3 linked regions of the Notamacropus eugenii genome follow. The protein of the gene in region 3 interacts with the protein of the main gene of each other region in a biochemical or structural test. Links are inferred from orthologs where the notes say so. Each region holds a gene or a part of one and is shown on either strand. Other genes may lie near its edges.

What was found.
Region 1: of the proteins of MAP3K1 (region 3) and MAPK8, one has a biochemical effect on the other in vitro, tested with the Homo sapiens proteins (3 studies listed by BioGRID, with this or other methods). The link is inferred for Notamacropus eugenii from reciprocal best matches to the Homo sapiens genes MAP3K1 and MAPK8.
Region 2: of the proteins of MAP3K1 (region 3) and MAP2K4, one has a biochemical effect on the other in vitro, tested with the Homo sapiens proteins (7 studies listed by BioGRID and IntAct, with this or other methods). The link is inferred for Notamacropus eugenii from reciprocal best matches to the Homo sapiens genes MAP3K1 and MAP2K4.

What each region holds. Positions count from the first base shown.
Region 1 is NC_092872.1:219,738,087-219,746,534, forward strand, and holds the start of MAPK8 (mitogen-activated protein kinase 8), read right to left. Parts: upstream 3,638-8,448; 5' UTR 3,503-3,637; intron 1-3,502. UniProt on the Homo sapiens protein: Serine/threonine-protein kinase involved in various processes such as cell proliferation, differentiation, migration, transformation and programmed cell death.
Region 2 is NC_092873.1:314,570,315-314,578,894, reverse strand, and holds the start of MAP2K4 (dual specificity mitogen-activated protein kinase kinase 4), read left to right. Parts: upstream 1-4,960; 5' UTR 4,961-5,059; coding exon 5,060-5,156; intron 5,157-8,580. UniProt on the Homo sapiens protein: Dual specificity protein kinase which acts as an essential component of the MAP kinase signal transduction pathway. Essential component of the stress-activated protein kinase/c-Jun N-terminal kinase (SAP/JNK) signaling pathway.
Region 3 is NC_092875.1:405,366,064-405,373,783, reverse strand, and holds the start of MAP3K1 (mitogen-activated protein kinase kinase kinase 1), read left to right. Parts: upstream 1-4,534; 5' UTR 4,535-4,554; coding exon 4,555-4,997; intron 4,998-5,290; exon of another isoform or gene 5,291-5,392; intron 5,393-7,720. UniProt on the Homo sapiens protein: Component of a protein kinase signal transduction cascade. Activates the ERK and JNK kinase pathways by phosphorylation of MAP2K1 and MAP2K4. May phosphorylate the MAPK8/JNK1 kinase.

The sequences.
Region 1 (8,448 bases), on a different chromosome or scaffold from region 3:
TTTTTCCCTCACCCCCAATCAGCTGACAAGCCTCACTGATTCTACCTCCACAGTGCCCCTCATATCATCTTCTCTCCACTCACACAGCCACTACCTTAGTCCAGGTCCTCATCACCTTTTGCCCTGGACTACTGTAATAGCCTAGTAGTCTCCCCAAATCTAGTCTCTCCAATCCACAAGCTTCCATACAGTTGCCAAACTGATATTCCTAAGGCACACATCTATGTCACTCTCCTGCTCAGTAAGCTCCAACAGCTTCCTCTTGCTTCTAGGATATAATACCAGTTCTTTCATTTGGCTTTCAAAGCCCTTCACAACCAGTCTCCAGTGTACTTACTCAGTCCTACTAAACACGACTCTCCTCCACACTTGCTGTTTCTCACACCCAATATGCCACCTAACATCTCTGTGCCTTGCACAGGCTGATCAATCACTCTTGTCTAGAATGAGCTCCCTCTTCTTCTCTAGCTCAGAGAAATGCTACCTGCCTTGGAAAGTCAGCTCAAGTGGAATACTCTGAACAGGGAGCTCTCCTAATCCTGTCCTTTGTTAATGCCCTCACTCAAGAAATTACTTTCTGTTTTGTATTCCATCTTTTAGTTCAGCCTGTTTCCCCTAATAGAATATAAATTCCTTGAGAGAAGGAATTTTTCTATTTTTGTCTTCGTATCCACAGGGCTCGGCACATAGGGGATACTTAATAACTGCTACACCTTGCTTTTGGAGCTCTGAACTGACTCAAACATGCTATAAAATGATTTTGGAATTATGTAAGAAAAGCCACCAAGCTGTTCATGACCTCTGATCAGGAAGTTGTAATCAGGCAGAGAGTCCAAAGAGGTCAATGACAGAAAGAAAGGCCTTCTATGTAACAAGTCATAGCAGCACTCCCACTGTGGCAGTAAAGAACTGGCTGGCTTAAAAAAAAAAAAAGTAGATGCCCATCAAAGGGGTAAATATATACTGTAATCTATTAATGAAATATTATACAGTAAGAAGCACTAATATGGAGAATTCAGAGAAATATACAAAGATTTCTATGACGTGATACAGGTGTGGGAAAAACAGGACCAGATGAACAATTTCACAACAATAATGTCAAGGTAAAAAAAACATTAAAAGGAAGCTGAACTCAATGGGTATAATGAAAAATCTTGGTTCTGAGAAGAGAATAAAATAGTTTTCTTCTCAGAAGGAAAGTGGATTGCAGAACACTGAACCGTGGGTATCAAATTTTGTGTACACAGGTTTTATCCATCACTTTGGTTTATTTTTCTTTGTTACAAGAGAGGGCTTAAGGAGGAGGAAGAAAGGGGATATAAAATGAGAAATGACTGTGATGCAGAGATAAAAATATAAAATTTCATTACCTGCAATTTAAGGAGCACATGCTTCCTTTAATTTTTTTTTTATAACAAAGCAAATTGAAAATATGTTAGTGCCATAAATACTTCTGGCTTAATAATTAGAACTTGTACCTTTCATAATACAAACATTCAGACAACTATTTACTGTATCCGAACATTCTTGATTTTAGTATTATGAGGTTCCTTTTAAGAAGGTCAATTTACTGAAGCAATAACACTTCAACAAAGTTGTTCAAGATCCCCCTACTCTGGTGATAGGTAGTACATATGAAAGTATGGCCACTTAGTCACAACTGTATGTGGCTTACCAAAATGCACGGACAAAATGTTGTGCAAAATTTTTCAAAAACTGCAATTTCAGTTCACATTTAATCCTTCAGTTTCTAATATATTGGAACATTTAATCCTCCAACTTAAAAAAAATAGTAAAAGCACCTTGCATGGAATCATAGAATATTAATGACAAAAGGAGTCAGGGAAACAGTCCCTTCATTTCACAAATGAGGATCTTAAACACTAGGTTATCTTATAGCTTTATTTAAGGATAAATCAGGGCTATGACTGTAGACAAGGCAACATTCACATACCACACTGAACTACTTCATTTTACCTTCTACTCCTAGCTCTGACATAGTGTGGGATGACTGCCAAGAAGCCACATTAACAAAAAAAAAGTAGCATGAGCTCGGAATTAAATAAGTTAATTAATTGCACTTAGTGGGAAGGTTTTTTTGATTGTTTTATTTTTACCTTAGCTATTGTGGCATAGCTGACAGGCTGACCTTGGAATCATCAAGACACAGGTTCAAGTCCCTCCTCTGACAGATACTGCCCTTGTAATCCCAGGCAAGTCACAACCTCTCAGCACCTAGGCATCTGAGATGGTCAACTGCAGAAGAGGTACCAACCTACAATTATCAGAAGGAATTTCCTTACCTGAGAGTTCCCTATGGGAATACAATCAATAGTCCAGTTCCTATCCCTAATTTAAGCAAATTGCACTTATTGGGCACAGTTTAATAGGATGGTGATGAATGTTATTGAATTCACAGAATATATACGAGGGAAGACAAGAAAAGAAAAAACAAAGACCATATGCTTTTACTAATTTACCCAAACTCCAAATAACACAGCTGCAGTCCAAAGTGTGACTCGGACAGTCAAGTCAGTCAAGACACAATCATTAAACGCGTATTACGTGCCAGGGACTATAAGCATAAGCGTTTAGAGATATACAGAAAAGATCAGTTCCTTACTTAAGATTTTAAAAATCTCATAAGAACACCACAAGCTAAAACAGTCCATTTGCCATTCACCGGCCGAGGACTCATCGCCGGTACCAATAATTTTTTTTTTTTTTTGCATTGATGTATCTGCATATAACTGATGCATCTGTGCTTTACATTACTGGCATAAACAAGGCTCCACAGAACACAAAAAGCAAACAAAAACACACACACACTCAAAAACCCAGGATGCCCTAGAGCGTCAACTCAGCCACTACACATGGTCCAGGATGGGAATGATAAGACCATTTTCTTTTTACATACCCAGGATCTACGAGGTACTCGCTGCACGCTTCCAGTCCCCGTCCCGGCCTTCAAGGACTACAGATCTCCCCCCTCCCCCAAAGTCTTTGAGAACTTCTCCCCCATCCCTGGCCATTTAAAAAATACAATATGCAAGTGGGGAAAATACGCTAAGCACAGACCACCCTTTCGGGGCCGCCGCCGCGGGAGGAGGGAGGTGGGTACCCATCTAGCTCTCGGGCTCCCGAGGTCCCGGGGCTGGAGGCGGTGGGGGGGCGGGGAGGAAAACGGTGGGGCAGCAGCGCGTCATCGCCCCCGGCCCCGTCCCCTCCCCCTCTGGGTCCTCCTCCCCGCCCCCTCCCCCTCCTGGCCCCCTTCACCCCGCTATTGTTCTCCGGATCCCCCGGCATCCTCTCCCCGGTCCCCAGGCGGGCCCCCTCCCCCCTCGCGGGGACGCGCGCCCCTCCCCCTCGCCGCCCCCTCCTCCTCCTTCCCCTCCCCCTCCGGAGGGGGTCACCGCGGCGGCGGCGGCGGCACAATAACATAAACACAGCCGTTACGACCGGAGGAGCCGCCCCCGGGCTCTGGGCCCGGCTCTGCACTCACCCAGGCAAGCGAAGCGCGCGCCGAAGGGAGGAAGGCCCCCGGGGTCGCCGCGGGGGCGGCCGAGGGGCAGGGGAGGACGGGACAGGCGTCCGAGCCCGAGCTCGAGCGGCTGGCTGGCCGGTCCACCGAGCTCGTCCGGGCTCGTCCGGGCTCCGGGCCGCGTCCTCCTGCCTCCACCGCTCGGCTAAGGAACAAGAGCGCCGGCCGTCACCGCGCACGCTTCCACGTCATCCCGCAGGGCCCCGCCCCCTGACCGCTCCCCCGCCCACGAAGGGGCGGGGCGATTCGGATCCCGGGGGGCGGGGCCAGCCGTAGCAAGAGCGAAGTGCGGGGAGGGCTGACCCAGGTGGCCGGAGAGGAGAGGCCGGGGAGAAGCAAAGGCGGATCTGAATAGGGGGAGGGGCAAAAAAGAAAGTATGAATGAGGGGCGTGGCCAGAGCTGGGCCCGATGGGGGCGGGGACTACGTTTTTGTAAATTTCCCGGCTGAGTGGCTGATACTGACAATTCACATTTAGATAGCATTTAATTAAGAAAGAATAAAGAGGAAAGGTAACGAATAATGTGCTGTCAGAAAGACTCGGTTCAAATTCCTCTTCTGACCTTGGTCTCGTCACTCAGCCTCCAGGTGCCTCGGGCAAATTCCTAGAATTTCTCTCCTAACTCACTACCAGAGGGAATTTGGGGAAAATCACTTGACCTCCCCGGCCTCGGTTTCCTCCTCTGTAACAGGTGGGGAACTGGTCTCTCCGCACTCCGGGGTCTCTGCCAAGAGTTTATCTTTAGTGCTAGCACGTCCAGGTGGAGATCTGAGGGAGTTCTTCCATGATGACAAAGCTGTAGATCCTTCTAGCATCCAAGTTTATTTTGTTTTTAAGGCAAAAACCAAAATATGCCTTTTCTTCTTGACCTCCAGGTCAGCTAGGTGGTAGGAGAGGAAACTGGTAAGTGGAAGGACTAAAACCCTGCTTTCCACTCAAAATACCATGCTGCTTCTCAGTGCCAAAGAAGCCAGCCTGAGGTAGAACTATAAAGCTGAAAAAGAACCTGTGTACCTACTGTGTGCCCACTTGTAAACCTTCGATTGGAGACTTCTTGCTGACCAGGCCCACCTCGCAGTCACCTCCCTCCCCCAATATTCATGTTTGTCTTAGTCGTTGTTGTGTGGAGTGTAGTGGAAAGAACACTAGCCGTTGAATTCAGGACACTTGGGTTTTATTCCTGCCTCTTCCATTTACTAGTTGGGTGACCTGGGGCAAGTCACTGAAGCTCCAGTACCTCACCTGTAAAATGAGAGTAAGAATATTTGCATTGCCTAACCCAATCACAAATGAAATGATATATAAAGGTATTTTGTAAAGCATAATCTATATGTCAGTAATCCATTCACTGTGGCAGCTAGGTGGTAAAGTGGATAGATCCCTGAACCTGAAGTCAGGAAGACCAGAGTTCAAATTTGACCTCAGATCCCTATTAGCTATGTGACTGAACAAATCCCTTAGCGCTGTTTGTTTCAGTTTCCTCATCTGTAAAATGAACTGGAGAAGGAAATGGCAAACCACTTCAGCATCTTTGCCAAAAAAACCCCAAAGAGTTGAAGATGACAACAAAAACAGCAAATATACTCATATGTCTATAAAACACCCCTTAGTGCTTTGTTAAGTGGTATATAAATGTCTGTTCATTTTAACAGCCTGGTACAGAGGAATGGCTATGTGGCCCTGGACAAGTCACTTAATCTCTGTTTCCTCTTTTATAAAAGAAAGGATGGGCTAGATAAAGGTCCTTTCTAGCTATAAATCTATGCTCCCATGACTTTCTATTAGCAAGGTGCTGGGAATACAAGAACAAAAGCCAAACAGGCCCTGCCATGAAGGAACTTCCATTCTACTGGGAAGAATTAACATATATACAGAAAGATTTGTACTAAGCAACACATCTTAGCTAGTATAATTTAGTAGATAAATCCTAGAACATTACTTGAGGCTCAGACAGATTAAATGAATTGTCCATCATTCACACTGCTAGTATATGTCAGAAGTGGAATTTGAATACAACTCTTCCTGACTCCAAGTCTAGTACTCTATAAGGTATGCAACAATTCAAGTCACTATCTAAATATGGATGTTAGAGTTGGAAAGGATAGAGAAGGCCAAATTTCTCGTTAAAACAATAACTGATATTTGGAGAATACTCAAAATGTGTGAAGTGCTTTAAACACTATCTCACTCAAGACTCATAGTACTGTGAAGCAGATAATATAGCTATCACTATCCCTACTTTATAGATAAGAATACTGAGGCAAAGAAAATTTGTGTGTCTTACCAAGAGTCACACAACTTATTTCTTGCTTATTAGTAAGAGTTGAACACACTCTTCCCAATGCCAAATGCAGCACTGTATATACATTCAACCACTCTGTCTTCTCAAAGTAACTAAATAATCTGTCTAAAGGCACCCAGCTCATTTTAGCTTGCTCTGGAATCCACTGGATTTTCTGATTCTTTTCTCACTGTTTGTCCCATTGTTATTACTTTCTTTTAAAAACAGAAATTCTCCCTTTCCTTTGAAGAAAAATAAAGATGACTTGAATATAGGAATATTTTTATTCTCTACCTTATTGTGATTCTCTTTTCTGGAGAGTTTACAAGTCATTGGTGTCTTGACTACACTTCAAGATAAACTTGCTGATTTATACAGAGCTGTCTATCTCCCGGTTTCTGAGGAAATGAACAGCTCTGCCTTATCAAACATGTATAGCTACCAAGTTATACACAACTATACACATGTACACATAGGCTTCTCCTTACACCTATGCCCAGACCATTGTTGGGGTCACCATTTGTCAAAATCAGTTCTTTCTTAAAGTACACATCACTACTTATATCACCCTGCATTCACACGCATTGCTACCAACAAGTGAGTCTTTTATTTTAACTTTTTTTTTTTAAAGCACAAAAACTACAAAGTCTTTTGATTGTGAATGTACATTTTAGGGGGACAGGTTGTGTGTAGTTTTCACTTTTATAGAAACAAAAGAATTATGAAAAAGGAAGGCTAATTTCAAGGAGGATAAAGCTGAGAAAGCACAGAGGAATGCTTTGTAAAGATGGTAGATAAAAGGTAGATTGTTTTGGTACTTGTGGTCCTGGTGTACAACTCTTAACCATTCACACCCTGCTTCCCAAGTGATCCAGGTAGACTGAAGAGTGCCGAAGAAAGGGGAGAGAAGGAGTGAGAGTGAGGAGAGAGAGAGAGAGAGAGAGAGAGAGAGAGAGAGAGAGACAGAGAGACAGAGAGAGACAGAGAGAGACAGAGAGAGAGAGAGAGAGAGAGAGAGAGAGAGAGAGAGAGAGAGATGGTTTTTGCTTTCTGTGACTACATATACCCAGCTACTCAAACCTCTTTCAAGAGATATGATATGAGCCAGACTCCATGCTAAGTACAAGGAATGCAAATATAAAGGTACAACAACCCCTACCCTCAAGGAGTTTAAATTGTAATGGAAGAAAACACATATAGAGTAGTGGTGAAGAGGGAAGGGAGTTCTGATATAAGGAATCATGGGAATGGATTGATACATACGGCAGCTCCCTTTTTAGAAGTAAGAGCAATTAATAGATTTAGGGTCAGAGAACCTGAGTTCAGATTTTGACTAACTTTTTACTTGTATAATGTTGGGTAAATTACTTCCTTTCTCTGGGATTCCATTTCCTCACCTGTAAAATGAGGTAAATAGTCTTTATTCTTGAAAGCCTCTTGTAGTTCTAGATTCTATGATGCTATGACTCGGCCAGCTTCCTCAATATATCCCATACTTGGTTACACAGTTTTCCTCTACTCCATCACCTCTTATTATCCTTAAGATTTCAACATCTATACTGATGATCCTCCCATCTATTTAACTTTACAACTCTTCCACTGCCTGCATTCCAATGACTTAATTCTCAAATTCACTTTAGCTATCATATGCTTGATCAAATCCTGGACCTTGCCATCAGTTTGAATTGCCTGTGCCTCCAAGGTTTTGAATTCTGAAATTATTCTCTTTGACCAAACCCGTCTATCCTTCTACTCCTCCCATTCTCTTACTTCTCCTGAATCTACCCTTTACCACTTATGGTGACCTCCAATTCCCCAAGACCTCCCTATTCTTACCCCTCATCAAAATCAGTTTCTGGTCTCACTTATGAAACTAAGCTGATGCTTTAGCCCCATCTCAACCCATCCTCCATGAAATGCATGCCAGTGATACTATAATTATTTTGGTATGTACAGAAACAATGCAGAGTGGTTGACTGTCACCAGTAACAGTGAACTTATGACCTGGGTTTTTAAATATGCCATGCAGCTGCCCCAGGCTGCTGGTTGACACTTCCTAGGGTATTTGTAGCTATTACTAACAAAGGAAGCTTCTGTGTACTAATTGGATTGTTCAGTGTTCAGGCTCCTTGTGATACTGTTTAATTTGTTCCCTACTAACAGTGATCTAGGGCAAGTGCCTAGCCTTATCTCCTCAGCTATTTATTAGTTGTTACTGACATAAGTCTAATTATTTGGTTCTATTTTGCTTTATAGTTATTCGTGTACATGTTGGGACCAATTACAAAACTATAAACCCCTTATGGATAGGAGCCGTGCCTTAATGTTTTCTCTCCCTCCATGCCTAACATGGTGGTCTGTACATCATAGACCTCCCCACTCAACGCTTATGAAAGTAGAGAGGTAAAGTGATACAGAAAATGCACACTAGTTCTGGAGTTGGAGGTCCCGGGTTCAAATTCTGCCTGTGATATTCACTATCTCTTTGACATTGGAAACTTAGCATTTCTGAATCTCAGGTTCTTCATCTTTGTCTCACTGTTTCTGTGTGTGTGTGTGTGTGCGTGTGTGTGTGTGTGTGTGTGTGTGTGTGTGAGAGAGAGAGAGAGAGAGAGAGAGAATAGTA
Region 2 (8,580 bases), on a different chromosome or scaffold from region 3:
CCTACTATTACATTGTATTCAACTACTCTGTAGGTATCTGCATGGGTTCACTTCAAATTTGTGCTGTATCTGTGAACTGGCATATTTGTCTCCTTCATTAGAATGTAAGCTTCTTGCAAGGGGGGATTGTTTCGTTTGTTGTGCATTTGCCCTGGCTCTGGCACAACTAGATTTACTGATTTATACAGAAAAAATAGAAAGACAACAATACAAATAAATATAAAGCAGTTCAATACAAGTTAGGTTTAAGAGAAAGAGCTCTGGAAGACAAAGACTGATGGACAAATGTGACTGCTGAGCATTTTAGACCCTGAGAGTGAGAGAGTGAGTGAGTGGTGTGTAGGAGTAACAAAGAGAAAGCCTGTTTGGTTGGACTGCAGAATTCAGGAGAAATAATGTATAATGAAGTTAGAAAGACAGGTTGGGGCAAGGTGGTAAAGGACTTTTCAAGCCAAACAAAAGAGTTTATATTTTATCACAAAGGGAGACTGAGTTGGTAGAGTACAGGAATCACATGGTAAAGTGTGCTTAAAGAAAATCCTATGGTACATAGGCATATAGGATGGTCTGGAATGGGTCTAGAACAGAGATTCCCAAATTTATTTGGCCTATCACCCCTTTTTCAAAAAAAATTACTCAGCACCACCCCCTGGAAATCTAATTTCTTTAACCCTTTAACATTTTTTTTTGAAATTTGTGTCATTTTTTTAAATGTAATTTTTTTTTACAAAGATGCATTTTAAATTTAATATTTTTTTTCTAATTTTGTGGGATTTTTCCTGCATTGAAATGGTGATGATACAATATTGTGTCTTCTAACCATATGATATGGTAAACAAGTCATTATATGCACATATTCCTACTGATGCATGCTGGACTTCATGACAATGCCTGACGCACTCACCTGCCAGCACTTGGTTGTTAAGATCTGTCAGCAGACTTGACCACTGATCAGTTATAACTTGCATTTTGTGTTTTTAATTGGAAAAAAAAATGTAATCATGATATCTTTATTTTTGTTACACAACAGATGAAACATGCATGAATGGTTTTTCAAAATTTTCTTCTTTTCTTTCCTTATGCTTCCATTGCCCCCTTATATTTATTTGATACTCCCCAATTGTACCTGAAGCAGCTACGATCCCCCTAGATCATTCCAGTGCCCCCCAGGCAGTAGTATTGCCTACTTGGGAAACCTCTGGGCTAGAGACTTGAGGGACACAGACCATTTAGGAGGTTGTTATAATGCATAGTCCAAGTGAGAGGTGATGAGGGCCTGAAGGGTCATTTTTGAGAGATGAGGAGGTAGGAATGGCAAGATTTTGCAATCGATTAGATATGTGAGGGGAAGGAGAATGATGAGTCAAGGATAATTTTCAGGTTATAATCCTCAAATAAAAGGGAAGTTTGGAAGAGAGGTGGGATTTTGGGGAAAGGTTAATTCAATTTTTGATATGTTGAATTTGAGATGTCTTTGGGACATCTAGTTTAAAATGTCTAATGGACAAATTGTGCTGGGGAATTAAAGCTTGGGGGGAGTCATGGGCTGAATATATATAAATGTATATATGTATATATACACACATGTGCATACGTACATATAAAGAAATATATATGTATGCATGTATATATCTATATATATTTATATCGTTAAACCCATGAGGTCACTAAGATATATGTATGTATATATATGAGTGTGTGTATGTATGTATATATGTATGTATGTATGTGTGTAGTTACACCTATCAAGTCATTAAGACAGTGTAAAGAGAAAAAAATTTAGGGGTTTAGATCAGAATTTTGGGGGATACCCACAGTGAGAGGATAACATATGGATGGCAAACAAGCAAAGGAGAATGAGGAATGGTTAGAGAAGAGGTAGAACCTAGGAAAAAGTAGTATCATAAACCTCGAGAGAGTGGAAAGTGTCCAGGAGGAGAGAATAAATCAACAATGTCAAATAGAGTACATGGTTTGAGAAGGATGAGGCCTGAATGAATAAAGACTATCATGTTTAGCAATTAAGAGACCATCAATAATTTTGAAAAAACTTCAGTTGAATGTTGAGGTCAGAAGTCAGACTACAAAGCATAGAGGAATAAATATGAAGAGAGGACTTGGAGGCTGTGAGTGTAGAAAGCATTTTCAGGTAGTTTGACTAATAAAGGAAGGAGAGATATAAAACAGTAACTTGAAGGGATTGAAAGACAGTAAGGATAGACTTGGACATGCTTGGAATTAATAGGAAGGAACTAGTCAATGAGGAAAGGTTGAAGATTTAAAAAGGATTGAGGATGATTGAGGTTTCAGTCTTCTAGAGAGAAGATTGGAGGGGAAAGGATCAAAGGCATATGTAGAGGGTTGGTCTTGTTAAGAAAAAGGGGTCACTGAGGAAAAGGAAGAGACATTTGAAGATTTTGAGGTAAAGAGAAGTGGAGAAAAAGGATCTCAGATAGAACACCTCCATTTTCTCAGTAAAATAAGTGTAACATAGTTTCTCTGACTCCTCCGAGGCTTGTTACATTTTATACCCACACAGGGCTCTCTGGTACCCTAAGCAGTAGAAGTATCTCTTTTCTCTGACCCTACTTGTGTTTGCCCAGTGACTAGTATCTCAGAGTCTTTTAACCAGTCAAGATTAAACTAGTAGGGATATTTATTTCAAAGATATAACAAGGACAAACATATTGACACTTCCCCCAACACCTCTGGAACATAATCCCCTTCCCCTCCCCCTCTCCAAACCTCTTCTGCATTGGTCTTTGACAATTCAGATAGTTCATAAACGGCAGTAGTCCTACTAAGTTCAAGATAAAAAAATCCCTGCTGGGCTAGCATCCCAGGTCCCCTCTTGGAGTGACAAATTCCTGTGGCTTGAACATCTGGGTCTGATACTGTACTCCATTTACCTAGAACAGAAAAGGAGGAAGGAAAATGCCAAAAGTCAGGACCTATATCGATCCAGTGGGGAAAAAAGAGGCCCAAAGTCCCTCTAGCTTTACTGTTGAAGAGAGAGAGATGGGAGAGCTGGTTCAGATGTGAATGAATTCACTTAGACCTTCTCTGTGGCCAAAGGGGGCTTTATTGATGTGTGGGATGGTGAGACCCCTACTCAAATTGACTACTCAGAAGCATTTCAGAGTATACACAGAAAATCCTTTATACTGGACTTCACCCTTCCCCAAGCAAATTGGAGGAGGGGAAGCATTTTACAGAAGCAGATGCAAGGTTATATAGCAGACGACCACAAAACACCTCTTACCCTTTTGGTCAAGAACCTGAATGAACAGTCTTTATTTTTAGAAATAAGGAAATGGGACTCAGCAGCCTGAGCTAGCAGTCTCTATTTCAGAAATAGGGAAATGGGAGTCAGTGAAACTGGGGAGAGGGGTGACAGTCGGTTTCACAACTTCAAGTTTCCCAATATCATATGATTTTTGATAAACTGAAACTCAGGCATTATGTCCGCTTCAGTTTTGACTTAGGTCCCTGAGAAGTCTTCACTGACTTATCACATTCATTGACACAAAAGCAGTGGGTCTGAAATTTAGCACGGATCTATAAAAGGCAGTGATATAGGACAAGGACCAGACTGATATACACGGGCTCTAGGGTGATGATGTAAATTTTAGGGTTTCTAATAGGGGTTGGAGATTTAGGAATTGGATGAGGAAGATGGATGACACAAAAGAAGGGAGACAGATAAGATTTTACAACCCAGGATGGGGGACATAAGGAATTTTAAGGTCCAGGATAAGGGAGAAGTTTTAAGGTGTTTCAGGATAAGGGGGATAGACTTAAGGGTGCCTTCAGGTTAGAAAATAAACCAGGGGCTTCACAAAGTCAATCCTTAATATTATTTTAACTCTTAGGGCGCTGTTTGTATCCACATCATTTACTACATGGTGTGAATGAAAGTATCCTTCACTCTTAGATGGGAATGCAAGAAAAAGGCCAGGTGTTGCTGAGCCATTGGAAAAAGTTTGCTCCAAACTACATAGTAGCTAATACAGAATGTTCACTTATGTCCCAGTCCCACAGTCTCTTGGAAGCCGGTCCTGCCATCTTAGGTAGTGTAGGCATGTGTCAATCCTTACCCCCTCTCCAAAACTAGATCATCAGTTTTTTCCCCTCTGTTTCTTTCTTTAAAAACAAATAGATGCTCTTTAACATCACTTTAATTTCAAAATATATCTCTCTCCTTCCCAACTCATTCAGAGGAGGTTATTACTCTGAATTTTTATCAAATTTTTATCTTAAAGAAAAAAAAAGACAGCTTAGCAGGAAGTGTATAGGAAGCCCTTTATCAGAAGATCTGTGTTCAAATTTTACACCCAACCCATGATACCTATGTGACTTCAAGTCACTTCTCTGGCCCCTATTTCTTCATCTCAGAAATGAAAGGGTTGGATTATTGTGAGCTCCTAGAGAGCAGGGGTTATTATCAATACTATTATTATTTTTAATAATAATCCCTGGCATTTAGGGCAGATCCATGAATGGAGTATGACAGTATACATTACACTCCATACCTATAATCCTCTTGTTCTTCTGGGAAGGGGTCACTTATTTTTAAGTACTATTACTAATATCCACGAGGGCTCAAACTCTTTGAAGGTCAGGACTATTAGTTTCTAATCTCGAAGGCTCGCACATAGAAAGCACTTAATTTGATTGCTGAATTGAGTTGCATTAGAATTACACTTACTAACAACAAAGAACGTTTGTTGACAGAATGAATGAAACTACCGGGGGTCAGAAGGGAGAGTGGGTGTGTATCTCTTTACCCGTCGGAAGGGCTGCAGAAGTACCGGGAGACCAGGTCTGGGCAAGTCTGCAAGGGTGGAGCGAGCCCAGGGCCAGGCTGAAACTGATTGGTATCTGGAACGCCGGAGGTGGGCGTGGGTGGGTCCGGCCTCGGCGCTGGGGAGCAGGCGGGGAAGGCGGGCCAGGGGGACGGGCCGGAGGCGGGCACTAGCCGCGCCCCTCGCAGGCGGAGAGAGGCCGAACTTGCTGCATTGCAGCCGCCGCGGCGCCGCTCCACTCCTCCCGGATAACAATGGCGGCTCCGAGCCCGAGCGGCGGCAGCGGGAGCGGCTCTCCCGGCGCCGTGGGGCCCCCAGGGCCAGGCCACACGGCCGTCAGCAGCATGCAGGGTAAGGAGCGCCTCCTCGCCCCGCCCCAAGACCCCCGCGAGCTGCCAGTGGCGGCCGAGGCCTCGCTCTCTGCCCCCCTCCTTCCCCACCCCGCAGTCCCCCCTCCCCCGCCGCGGGCTTTCCCGGCCTAGTAGGCGCCGCTCTTGGGCCTGGTTGTCCTGGCGGCCGCGGAGCTGCCTCCCTTAGCCTCGGTCCTGGAACCTCCTTCTGGCCCCGACTCGAGTCGGCCTCTGCTTCACCCGGCATCCCGGCGGCTCAGGCCCCGGATGGATCGGTGCCCTCAGCAGTGCCCTCCAATCTGGTGATGGTTTCATACACCTCCCCCCCTCCCCTCCCCCAGGACGTAGGCTAGGAGGAGGAGGAAGAGGAAGAGGAAGGCCATGCTATGATCCTAAACTGCCTCTCCTTCGTAACTCTCCTTAGAACAAATGCTTCATGACTTTGAAGTCAATTGGCTTTTTGGCTGGGGGTGGGGGAAGGGGTATCGAACCTAGATTCACGGCTTCTCCTGGAGCTGCTCCTGCTAATGAGATGCGAAGGTGTTTTGGGGGTTTTGTTTTCTTTTTTTGGTTGTGGTGACAGCCCCTTCCATGCAGGCCTTTTTGCTTGAACTTGGATATTAGAAAATGGGAAACTTTATTTAAACCAAAGAACACAAACATGTGCATTGTTATGACACTGCCTCTCCTGTAGTCCCCTAGCGTTATGAAAACATCTTTTAAGAAGGTGTTTTTTGTTTGTTTGTTTTTGGCCATGATAACTGATCTTAAGAGATGTAGAAATAGGTTCAAGCTGTGCCTCTGACACCCATACTAGCTGTATGACCATGGGCAAGGCGCTTGATCAATTAGTGCCCCGGGCAATTCTCTTGAAATTATAAACTACAGATAAATTGCTAGGGTGAAATCCTAAGTCTTGATCCTTCTCCCACCCTTGCTTCCATCCGAGCTCTTGTCCTCCCCGCCCCCCCTCCCCCCCCCCCCAAATCTGTAGTCTTTAACAGAATTCATCGTTGTAATAATATGTGCTTGGGGTTTGGGAAGCTGTTAAATGCAGGAAGTGTGCTTTGTGTAGCCTTGGAAATCTCTGGTAATTTTTTACACGTTTCTTTCGTTGAATGAACAGAACCAGGGGGACAGTTCCACGTTAGCCAATATTGACTCTTGTGACATTTTGCTGTCTTGAAAGAGTTGGTTTTCAGTCGGTCCATAAGCACTTAATAAGTGCCTCTTATATGCCAGGCGTTGTGCTAAGTGGCGAGGATATATGGAAAGGCAAAAAGGTAGTCCCAAGTCCCAGCTCCAGGAGCTCACAGTCTAAATGGGTAAGACAAAACGCAGTTGTATTTGTTCACAGCTATCTGCAAAGAAGATGGATACAGGATACAGGATAAATTGGAAATAATCATCAGAGGAAAGGAACTAGTATTAAAAGAAATCAGGAAAGACTACTTTTAGAAAGTGAGATTTCAGCTGAAAGTTAAAGGAAGCAAGGAATAGTGGAAGTTGGAGATAAGAGGGAGAACACTTACTTTGGACAGTAGACACCCCCATACTTCTTAACTTCTGTCTGTCCATCAGAAGTACACTGTTCTGTGGATTTATTTTAATATTCAGACATTATCAATATTCCTATTTCTTCCATCAGTACGGATCATGACTCATCTGTATATTTTAATCCTGTGTGCTTCTTGTTTATGTTTTATAGACCCTCCACAAGGGATCTATCCTGCCTGCCAGAGGTTTTCTTTGGGGCTTGTAAAATGTTATGGCATTTGGGCTAGCTATTGGTTATCTTTCCCTGTCAATACTTGATCCATTAACCTTTTTTGGATCTTGTATCTCCTTGATGATATCTCTTAGGCTATTTCTTTTTAGGTATGTCATAACTGGAAGTACAACCTATTTGGATCAACCATCTGTTAGATAAATTTTTTTCTCTCAGTGGCACTATATTCTAAGTGGGTGAAAAAGTCAAACATCAAAGAGTTAAATAAGACAAATTATTATAAAGTGTCAGATGAAGTCTAGAGACAGCCTTGTAGTGCAAAGAATGCTGAACTTGGAGTCAGTCAAGGACTAGAGTTCATATTCTGTCTCTGCCATTTACTACCTGTGTGACCTTGGGCCAGTTACTTAAATTTCAGTTTTCTCATCTGTAAAATGTGGGGTGGGGCTGTTGGACTAGAATACTCCGAGGTCCTTTCCACTCCTACGTCTATGAACCTTTAAATCAGTGGTGTCAAAATCAAATGGAGATAGGAGCCCAATAAACTATACTTAAGAATTCCTTATGTGTTATTGTATTTTTCTTTATTTTGTTAAATATTATCCAGTTATATTTTAATCTGCTTCACACTGCATTGAGGAGGGCCTGCATTTTGACACCTTTGTTTTAAGGATTCATGAAACCTTGCCTTTATTTATACTACTCACTTCACTTAACTCTAATAACTTGAAAGACTAAACAATCCTAGAGAGACCTTTGAAGTGGTCTTAAACTGTAAAGAGGTCACAAGGATTGCTTATGAGTATTCTGTTGTTTTAATTTAAGAAGATATTATTAAAAAAAATATTAAATAAAGCATTTCCTGTAAAATGCCTAGTCCCAGAAGTGTCTAGGAAGTAGCAGAACATTGGGGGAGCTGTGTGGAAAGAGCATTGGATTTAGAGTCAGAGGATCTGAGTTTAAATTCTGACTCTGCTACTTAGTGCCATTGGGACAGTTACTTAAATTCAACAAACATTTAAGTGTCTGTGTGCCGGGAAGGCTCTGTGCTAGGCACTAGTGATACAAAAAACCAGAAAAAATAGCCTTTACTCTTGAGGGGGGAGGCAGCTAGGTGGTTTAGTGGGTAGGGGGCTGGGCCTGGAGTCAGGAAGACCTAAGTTAAAATCCTTGCCTCAGACACTAGCTGTATGACCCTGGGCAAGTCACATAACTTCTGTTTGCCTTGGTATCTGTGGTATCCATGGTAGGAGGAAATGGTAAATCACTCCAGTATCTTTGCCAAGAAAAACCCCATGGACAGTATGTAATGGTCTACGTGGTCATAAAGAGTAGGACACAATTGAACAAAAACAAGTAAGGGGCTTTTTACTGAGGTTATATCAGTCTTTATAACAGCCCCTTCCAACTCTCAGATTCTGTGATACTGTGAATCAAGCATTTATAAAGTGCCTATTATATGTTAGATGCTAAGGATATAAGCCTACATTCCATGAAGGGGGGAGAAACATTATGTATACGAATAAATATATGTAAAATAAATAACAAGGTAATTTGAGAATTGTAAGTATTACCTGTCAGGATCAGAAAAAAGACTTGGTGTGGGAAGGGCACTTAGGCTAAGTTTTTGAACTAGGGATTCTGAGAAGTGGAGATGAGGAGGGAGTGCAGTCTAATTGGGAGACAGCCTGTGCAA
Region 3 (7,720 bases):
TACTTCCTTGTTACAGTTGAAGGGACTGAAGCAAAAAGAAAGTGAGTGACTTACCCAGGGTCACATAGCTAGTAAGTGTTGGAAGCTGCATTTGAACTGAGAGCTTCCTGACTCTGGCCCAACACTCTCTCCATTCTGCCATCTAGGTGCCCAAAGAGCTTCATGACAAGGGTGAGGGGGAGTTAAGAACCCTGAGCAATGCCATGCTGCCAACATAATAAGTAAGCCTATTTTCTTTGTCTCCTCTTTCCCCATAGTCCAAATGTATATAAAAAAAAGAAAATAACCAAATAATTTTCATACCTATCCATTATTAAGAACCAGGCACATTATTATATACCAGGCACTGTGCTAAACTCTGGGGATGCAAAAAGAGACAAAAGCCAATCCCTGCCATCAAGGAGTTCACAATCTAATGGGAGAAACCACACACATACATACACACACACACACATACACACACACACATACACACACACACTATTCAGGATAAATAGGAAATAATTAACAGAAGAAAGATTCTAAAATTAAGACAGGCTGGGAAAGTCTTCCTGTAAAAGATGGGATTTTAGGTGGGAAAGGAAGCCAGGAAAGTCAAAATGGAAAATCATTTTCTAAGAATAATTTCTCTTCACACTGGAGGTTCTAATGCTTGAGGGATAAAAAGCAACTAGATCCTCTGATATTTAAAGACATTTGTCTCTAGGCTTTCTTTCCAGACTTAACATACATTACTCCCCTTCACATATTCTATGGTCCAGCCAAAGAAGCCTACCTGCTGCTCCTCCTTCATGGCATTCCATCTCCCATCCCTTTGCTTTTGTACAGGCTGTTGCCCATGCCTACAGTGCACTCCATCCTCACTTCAGCATCTTAGCTTCCTCCAAAGTTAGGTCAAGCACTAATACCTGTATGAGACTTTTCTTAAACCCCTAAATTAGTGCTACTTTCCATAAATTTTTTATCATATATATTTTGTTTTTACAAATATGTACATATGCACACATACACTGTATGTATATGTGTGCATAAAATTTGTTGTTTTCTCATATAAAATATATAAGCTGCTACAGGGGTTTTTTGGTATTTATATCCCCAATGACTAAAACAGTGCCTGGCACACAGCAGATGCTTAATAATTGCTTATCTCTTGTATCAGATTTCTCTTTTGTCCTATGCCAACTAAAAATGTTAGGGTTTGTTTGTCTTTTTTTTTTAACCAAAGGTAGTAACAGGAAATAGCTGATAGCTAAAACAGAACATAGATTGACTTTCCTTTCTTTCCCTCCATTCCCAAGGACATTATTGTACTTCATATTTGGCAGCCCTATTTGATAGAATTAAAAAAAAAAAATCCCAAAACCCAACAACAAGAAAACACTGATCTTGTGAGAGTCTCCCTGATAAATGATTAATTTTTAAAAGGGCATTTTCACATCTCACCATTTTATAAGTGTTTAAAGCAACTACCAGCAGCCTCCGATTAAAAGAAAAATATTCCATCTATATGAACTAAGAAATAACCTACCAGTGCATTACAAAACCTTTCCATCCCAAAGACATTAATACACGTACATGTCAAGAAAATGCACCTGTACTAAATTAGATCTACAAATGAAACTATAAAATTAAGTGTGATTGAAGTGATTCCCAGAAGGAACATGTGGAAGTACTGATTTGGAAAGCATAGGGCTGAGAGTTATAGAAACTGCCACAGTGTAAATGAAATAACAGCCAGGCTGGTATCCTAATGTGCATAAAAATGAACAACAATAAAGATAGTGAAAATGGTAATTACGTTTCAATTTTTCATGCCCCACCTCGTTCCCCTAACAGAAGTAACTGAAAAGAATGGTGTCTTTCCCACTACATTAAAAACCAAGTTGAGGTGTCTACTGCAATAGAGTAACTTGAAATGTGATACATGCCCTTCTAGTAATATAAGGGAGAGCACAATAGGATTAAAATAGTAGCTTCAGCCTTAGACATTTTGAGGTCTGGGTAACTACTGTAACAATTCCATATAGTTTAATTCAAATGAAACTCCCTTTTCAAAACAATAAGATGAATTTAACATATGGCAGATGGGAACACCCTTTTCAGCCACGGACTTCTTTTTTTCTCCCTTTCTTTTTTTTATCTGATTCTCAGTGTGTGGAGGCATAATGAAGAACAGGATATTTGCATAAGAGGTTAAGGGGAAAATGACGAAAACCATGAGCTGGGTTTAGTAATTTCAGCTGTCTTTCGTTTTAGGAGAGGACCAGCTAGAGAAGGAGGGAAGGCGGGGGTGGTGAAGGAGAATGCAGCTGATTGGTGGTTTGACTTAACACCACTCGGCTTCATTCTGTACCCAAGTTTCAGCTTGGGCGGATGCATAGACAGGCTAGGGGAAGCTGTTTTGCTTTGAAATCTGTTTCACTTAACGCTACTCCAGGAAAACTTCAAATCTTACGATACCTTTTAAAGGACAGTTACTTTATTTAGTTTTTATAAGTGTACTGGTATATGTCTTAAGTAGATAAATTTAAAACTTGTAAAAACCTTAAAAAAAAGTTAGTGAAAAAATGAATCGTAAACTTAAAAAGGTAAGGTGTCTCAATTAGGGAAGACTAAGTAAACACCAGTGTGTGGCCTCGATGTCACAATGAACAGAGTTGCATAATTATAGCCCAAATATGGACAGCACAGAAGGAAACTCGGAGGGTTAATCCTGGAATTAAAGACTACAAACGTTTGACAGATTTTATTACCTGGACTGCTCATTACTTTCAAAATTTACACTTCAAAACTTTCAAAATAATCTTTTAGTAGTCAAGGCAATAATGTAAAATCAAGATCTATTTTGCGTCCCTTTTTCAGGACCGCAGGGCAGTAATTACCCTCCTCCTCCAGTAACAGACTAGAAAGGGGGCCTTTGCTCATAACTTCTGCAGTCCGCACTGTAACATTTGCGAAAGAAAACAGAGTTAGTATGCGGACAGCTCAGGCTCCTGGCTACATTTGTAATAAGATAAGGCCGAGTACGTTACTCCCTCTCCTCTTCCCATGTGATAGATCATCCTTTCTGTATATGAAAGTTTGCTCGCTGTTTTGCAAAATAAACCCGGAGATTGTTCTTGCCCTCGGGAAGGGCTATCATCTATAAGGCAAAGCACAGACTAGCTCGTCCCACAGAAAGAAGGAAGAGTAGAAAAAAACGAGACACAGAGAATCCCTTTGTGGCACTAGAAAGGTTGAAGATAATTAACATTTAAATAGTGCTTTTCATCCCCAAACACCTTATCGAAGAGAATCGCTCAGGGAATGAAGCCATTTGAAACACATCATTGGGGAAATACCAGCAGCTAGCCCTATACCAGCAGCTAGCCCTACACCACCACCCACACTGCGATTTCTGGCTCTCGCTTTCCCCAGGAAGACTTCATAATTAAGGAAGGGTGTTGCTGGTTTGTTTGTTTTTAACCTATAAAGGAAAATGGCGAGGGTATGGGAGGGTTAAATTGTAGAGTTGGATGGGGGCAATCGCATTGAGCTCCTTAGTGTCGGCTTCCTATTCCCTAGTCCAGCATTTATCCAATACTGGAATACGCACCCAGAGAAACAGCCAGCAAAAGTAATGCCCCAGCCCCTCCTGGAAGTTTCACGGCTTTCCCTCCGCGGGGAAAGAAACCTCAAATCAGGAACTTCAGAACGTAAGCCGCCTGTGGCCTGGTTATTAAGTGAGCTTTTATTTTTTGTCTTTATTCCTTTAAGGAGGATACAATGTATCGAAAGCTGTCCTCCTGGACTCTGAATCAGTCCTTACCTGCGCAGCCTTTACCTGCGCCCAAGGAGAACTCTCATTGGCCCCCACGCACACCGGGGAAGCCTCGCTAGGGGACAGCAGGCCCTTTTTGTTTTTTAATCAGCTCTTTCCTCCAGTCTTGCCCTATCTGCGGCCACGTCCCCACCGTGCTAATTATTTATTTCTGGACACCGGAGAGTTGTCCTGAGCAAGTTCCAAACAGCGGTGCCGGACTGCCGGGGAGGAGAAGCCGTGCCTGCGCTCCTCCCGCGGGCGCGGCCAAGACTGACCACCTGCAGCGGGAGGGAGGCCGGGCCGCGGAGCGCCCACCGGACAGCGGCTCCAGGCCCGCCGCGGGAGCGCCGCGGACCGGGCTACCTACGGCGTCTCCTCCCACCAACCTGCAGGCGGCTGCCCTTCCCGCACTCCCGCCGCCTACCGCTAGGGGCGTCACGGCACATTCGCCTCCTTCTCCTCCTCCTCCTGCACGCTCCCCCTCCCCCCCTTTCTAGGCTTCTAACGCTACTCCGATGGACCAACCGCAGCTCTCCGCCCCGCCCCCAGCTCGGGCCGCCCCCCCGCCCCCTCCCGGAGTCCCGCTTGCGTCGTCCCCCACGTCGTTGGCGTAGCCTCCGCTACGCTCCCGGGGCTCGGCGGCCCTCGCTCCGCACACCTCCCGCCCCCAGCGGGCCCCGGGCCCCTCCTCCCCGCTCCTGGCCCGCCCCTCCCCTGCGCGAGGACAGAGCGAATGTAGCCCGCGAGAGAAAATGGCGGCGGCGGCGGGGAATCGCACCTCGTCGTCGGGATTGCCGGGCTCCGCGGCGGCGGCGGCCAGCCCCGAAGCGGGCGGCGGGCTCCTGCGGGACGCGGGCAGCGGGGGCCGCGAGCGGGCGGACTGGCGGCGGAGGCCGCTGCGCCAAGTGCGGAGCGTGGAGCTGGAGCCGCCGCTCTTCCCCGCCTCCCCGCCGCCCTCCCCGGAGCCCGGGGACCCTGCACCGCCGGGGCCGCCGGCCGCGGCGGGGGGCGCCTTCCAGCCCGCAGCGCCCCCGCCGCCGCCGCCCCCCGCTCCCCTCGCCCTCGGCGCCTGCCAGTCCCGAGAGCCGTCGCCGCCGCCGGACAGCGGCGCCCCGAGCCCGGCGGGAGCCGATCCCGGGGACCGGAGGGCGGCCCCGAGCGAGCAGCCGCCCGCAGCCGCCGGTGCCCCCGCGAGGTAAGGAGCCGCCACCCCGGGCGCGCCGCCGAGCGCCTGCCTGCCCCCAGCCCGGCCGGGCTCCGGGCGCTCCCCGAATGAATGAACTCGGGGGCAGCGGGTGGGGGAGAGCGTCCGCAGCCGCTGGGAGGCTGCAGGAGAGTCCGCTAGGGACCGGGCTCTTCCCGGGCTGGCTTCCCCCCAGCCCCTCCACCTTCCCTCCGGCTCCCCGGTGTTGGGCGGGTCCCGAAGCCCACCTTTGGGAAGGGAGCGAGGGACGGGCTCGAGCTGGGGGGCGGGGGGGCGGTGTTATTGTTTGGAAACGTGGGAGACACCGGAGCTGTCTCTGCTCGGATCTGGTTGCGGAAATAGTTGAGAAGAAGGGTGTACACCAGTCCCTTGCCCTGTGTAGACTGGTAGGTTTCCGTATGTAGGGGGAAGTGGATCGGCCTGGGAGGTTGCCCCTTGGTAGACTTTGAGCTGGACCGATGATCCGGGAGGTTGCCCCGCGTAGACTGCCAGGTTGTTCAGCTCGGAGGTTGCCCCGTGTCTGTAGACCCGAGGCTTGCCCTGTGTAGACTGGTGGACCCGGAGTTGTGGGAGAGTGAGCTAGACGTTTGCCCGGACAGCCGGTCCGAGGGGACGGGAATAGGGGTGGGGGCCCTGGACTCCCCGTGTTTGCCGAGGGGGTGGGGAAGCAGCTGCGGAGGAGAAGATGCCCCAGGGGCCGGGTGTCCCGAGGACTCGTGGGCTTGATGCGGAGGCTGCGGGCGCCCCGGGGAGCCTGGACCGGAGCGGAGCTGCCTGGGCTGCTGCTGGGGGTGGGGGCGCGGGAGGTCCGGCCGCGGTGACTAGAAGCTAGTGGGCAGGAGCGAGGTCCGGGGCCAGCGGCTGTGTGTGTGGTGGAGGAGGAGGAGGCGAGATCCCGCCGGCCCGGGTCAGGCCGGTGCGCTGTGGGACAGACAAGCTGCTGTCCTGGAGCCGGGATCTTCCGCGCCGCCTGGCTGCAGCTTGCCCAGGAGGAGCCCGGGGTCTGCAGCAGGTAACCGGGAGGTTTGGGTGCTGACTGGATGTCTTTTCTGCTTGGGAGAATGTCGAGTGCAGGTCATAGCTGGTGGAGGCCAGTGAGCTGCAAACTCAGGGTGCCACAGTGTGTGGGCTCACGCTGAAGTACTCTTTGGGCCTAGAATGCTTTGAACTGGTAGCTGTGGCTTGTGTTTGAGATGTCTTTGAAGTTTGAATTTACTTGGGTGGCTAAAGATCTTAGACCGGATGTGTCAGCCATTCGGTTTCCAAGCCATCCAACCCGTTAACTGCCACCACAATCCTCTCACCTCTGGGTGAGAGTGGGGCGCACTTTGCATAGCTTCAGCTCACCCCAGCTGCAAACGCTGCCACCTTACGAAATTCCAGTAGCAACAGCATGATATACTGTTTAAAATCTCAAATTCTTTTCACTTCCGCTCAAAGAACAGTGTGACTAAGAAAAATGATTAAGTTTTCCTTGACTTTTATTTAGTGACAACTCTAAAATACTCTTTTAAAGGAAATCATTAAATGTGAGTTGACTTGAAAAATTCAGCGCTGAGAAACTGCAGAACACGAATTGTTGAGAAGTTAGTGTTTTGAATTTTTTTTTTTAACGTTGTGGCATTGCACCGATTCTCCAGTAGGATGTCCTGATGCCTATTTAAACACCCACATATATAATTTTGATTTGTGTGTGTAAGCCTCTTAAATGAAAATCACTTCTCCAAGGAGTTTTCCTAGTTCTGATTTGTGGCTAGGATGATTTGACATAATTTTGCTGTGGGCTTGGTTGATTTCATTTATTTATAGCTGCAGTGTTATGACAAATCCTTAACTTAAAAAACATTTTAAAATACATTTAGAAATACTGATAAGTCCCTCAAGACATAATGAAAACAGAGGAGCCTTTAACTAGGTTTTTGCATAAACATCTTGTGTAAATGTATAACAACTTCTGCAGAGTACTGATTGTTATACTTAATATTTAATCTCCTTTGTGTAGTTTCCATTGGAGTTTAGACTAAATCATTAACTGGGAACAATATTTTTTTGTTGAAGTAAATTGTATTTAGGGTTAGAATTTTGAATTTTGTCGTCCAGAAATTAATTTTAATTTTTCTGTTCTGATAGAGATTTATAGCAATAAGGACACAAGCTTTACATGGCTGTCAGACATTTGAGATAAATTAATACCTGAACTTATTAGGCCACAGTTAGTATGTTAACACTTGTCAGATGTTTGGAAGTAGATAAGAGCAAACAGAGTAGAAATAACATGCACAAAAATGTTGATTAGCTAAAGACTAAGCTTTCCTCAGATCATGGCTTTAGAGCTGAAAGGGATTTAGAGATCGTTTAGTCCTACTCTTTCATTTTACAAATGAGGAAACCATAGCCTAGAAAAGTCATGACTTTCCCAAAGTCACACTGCTGGTAAGTAGCCTAGCCAGGGCTTGAACCATGGCTATTTTCAGAATACAGGCACTGAACAATTCATTCTTTCTCCTGTTTTGTAACCTGGATGTTTTCCTTTTGGTTGTAAACTAAAAATTGTACAAAATATATAATAGTGCATATCAAAATATTTTCTTGAAAATTTAATTGAATTCCCATTGGAGACATATTTTGTATGTTAGAATGAAAGAAAAAACATGTATAGTATATGAAAGTGGAAGGGAAAAATAATCTGCAAGGGCAATTAGGTACTTGGGGTA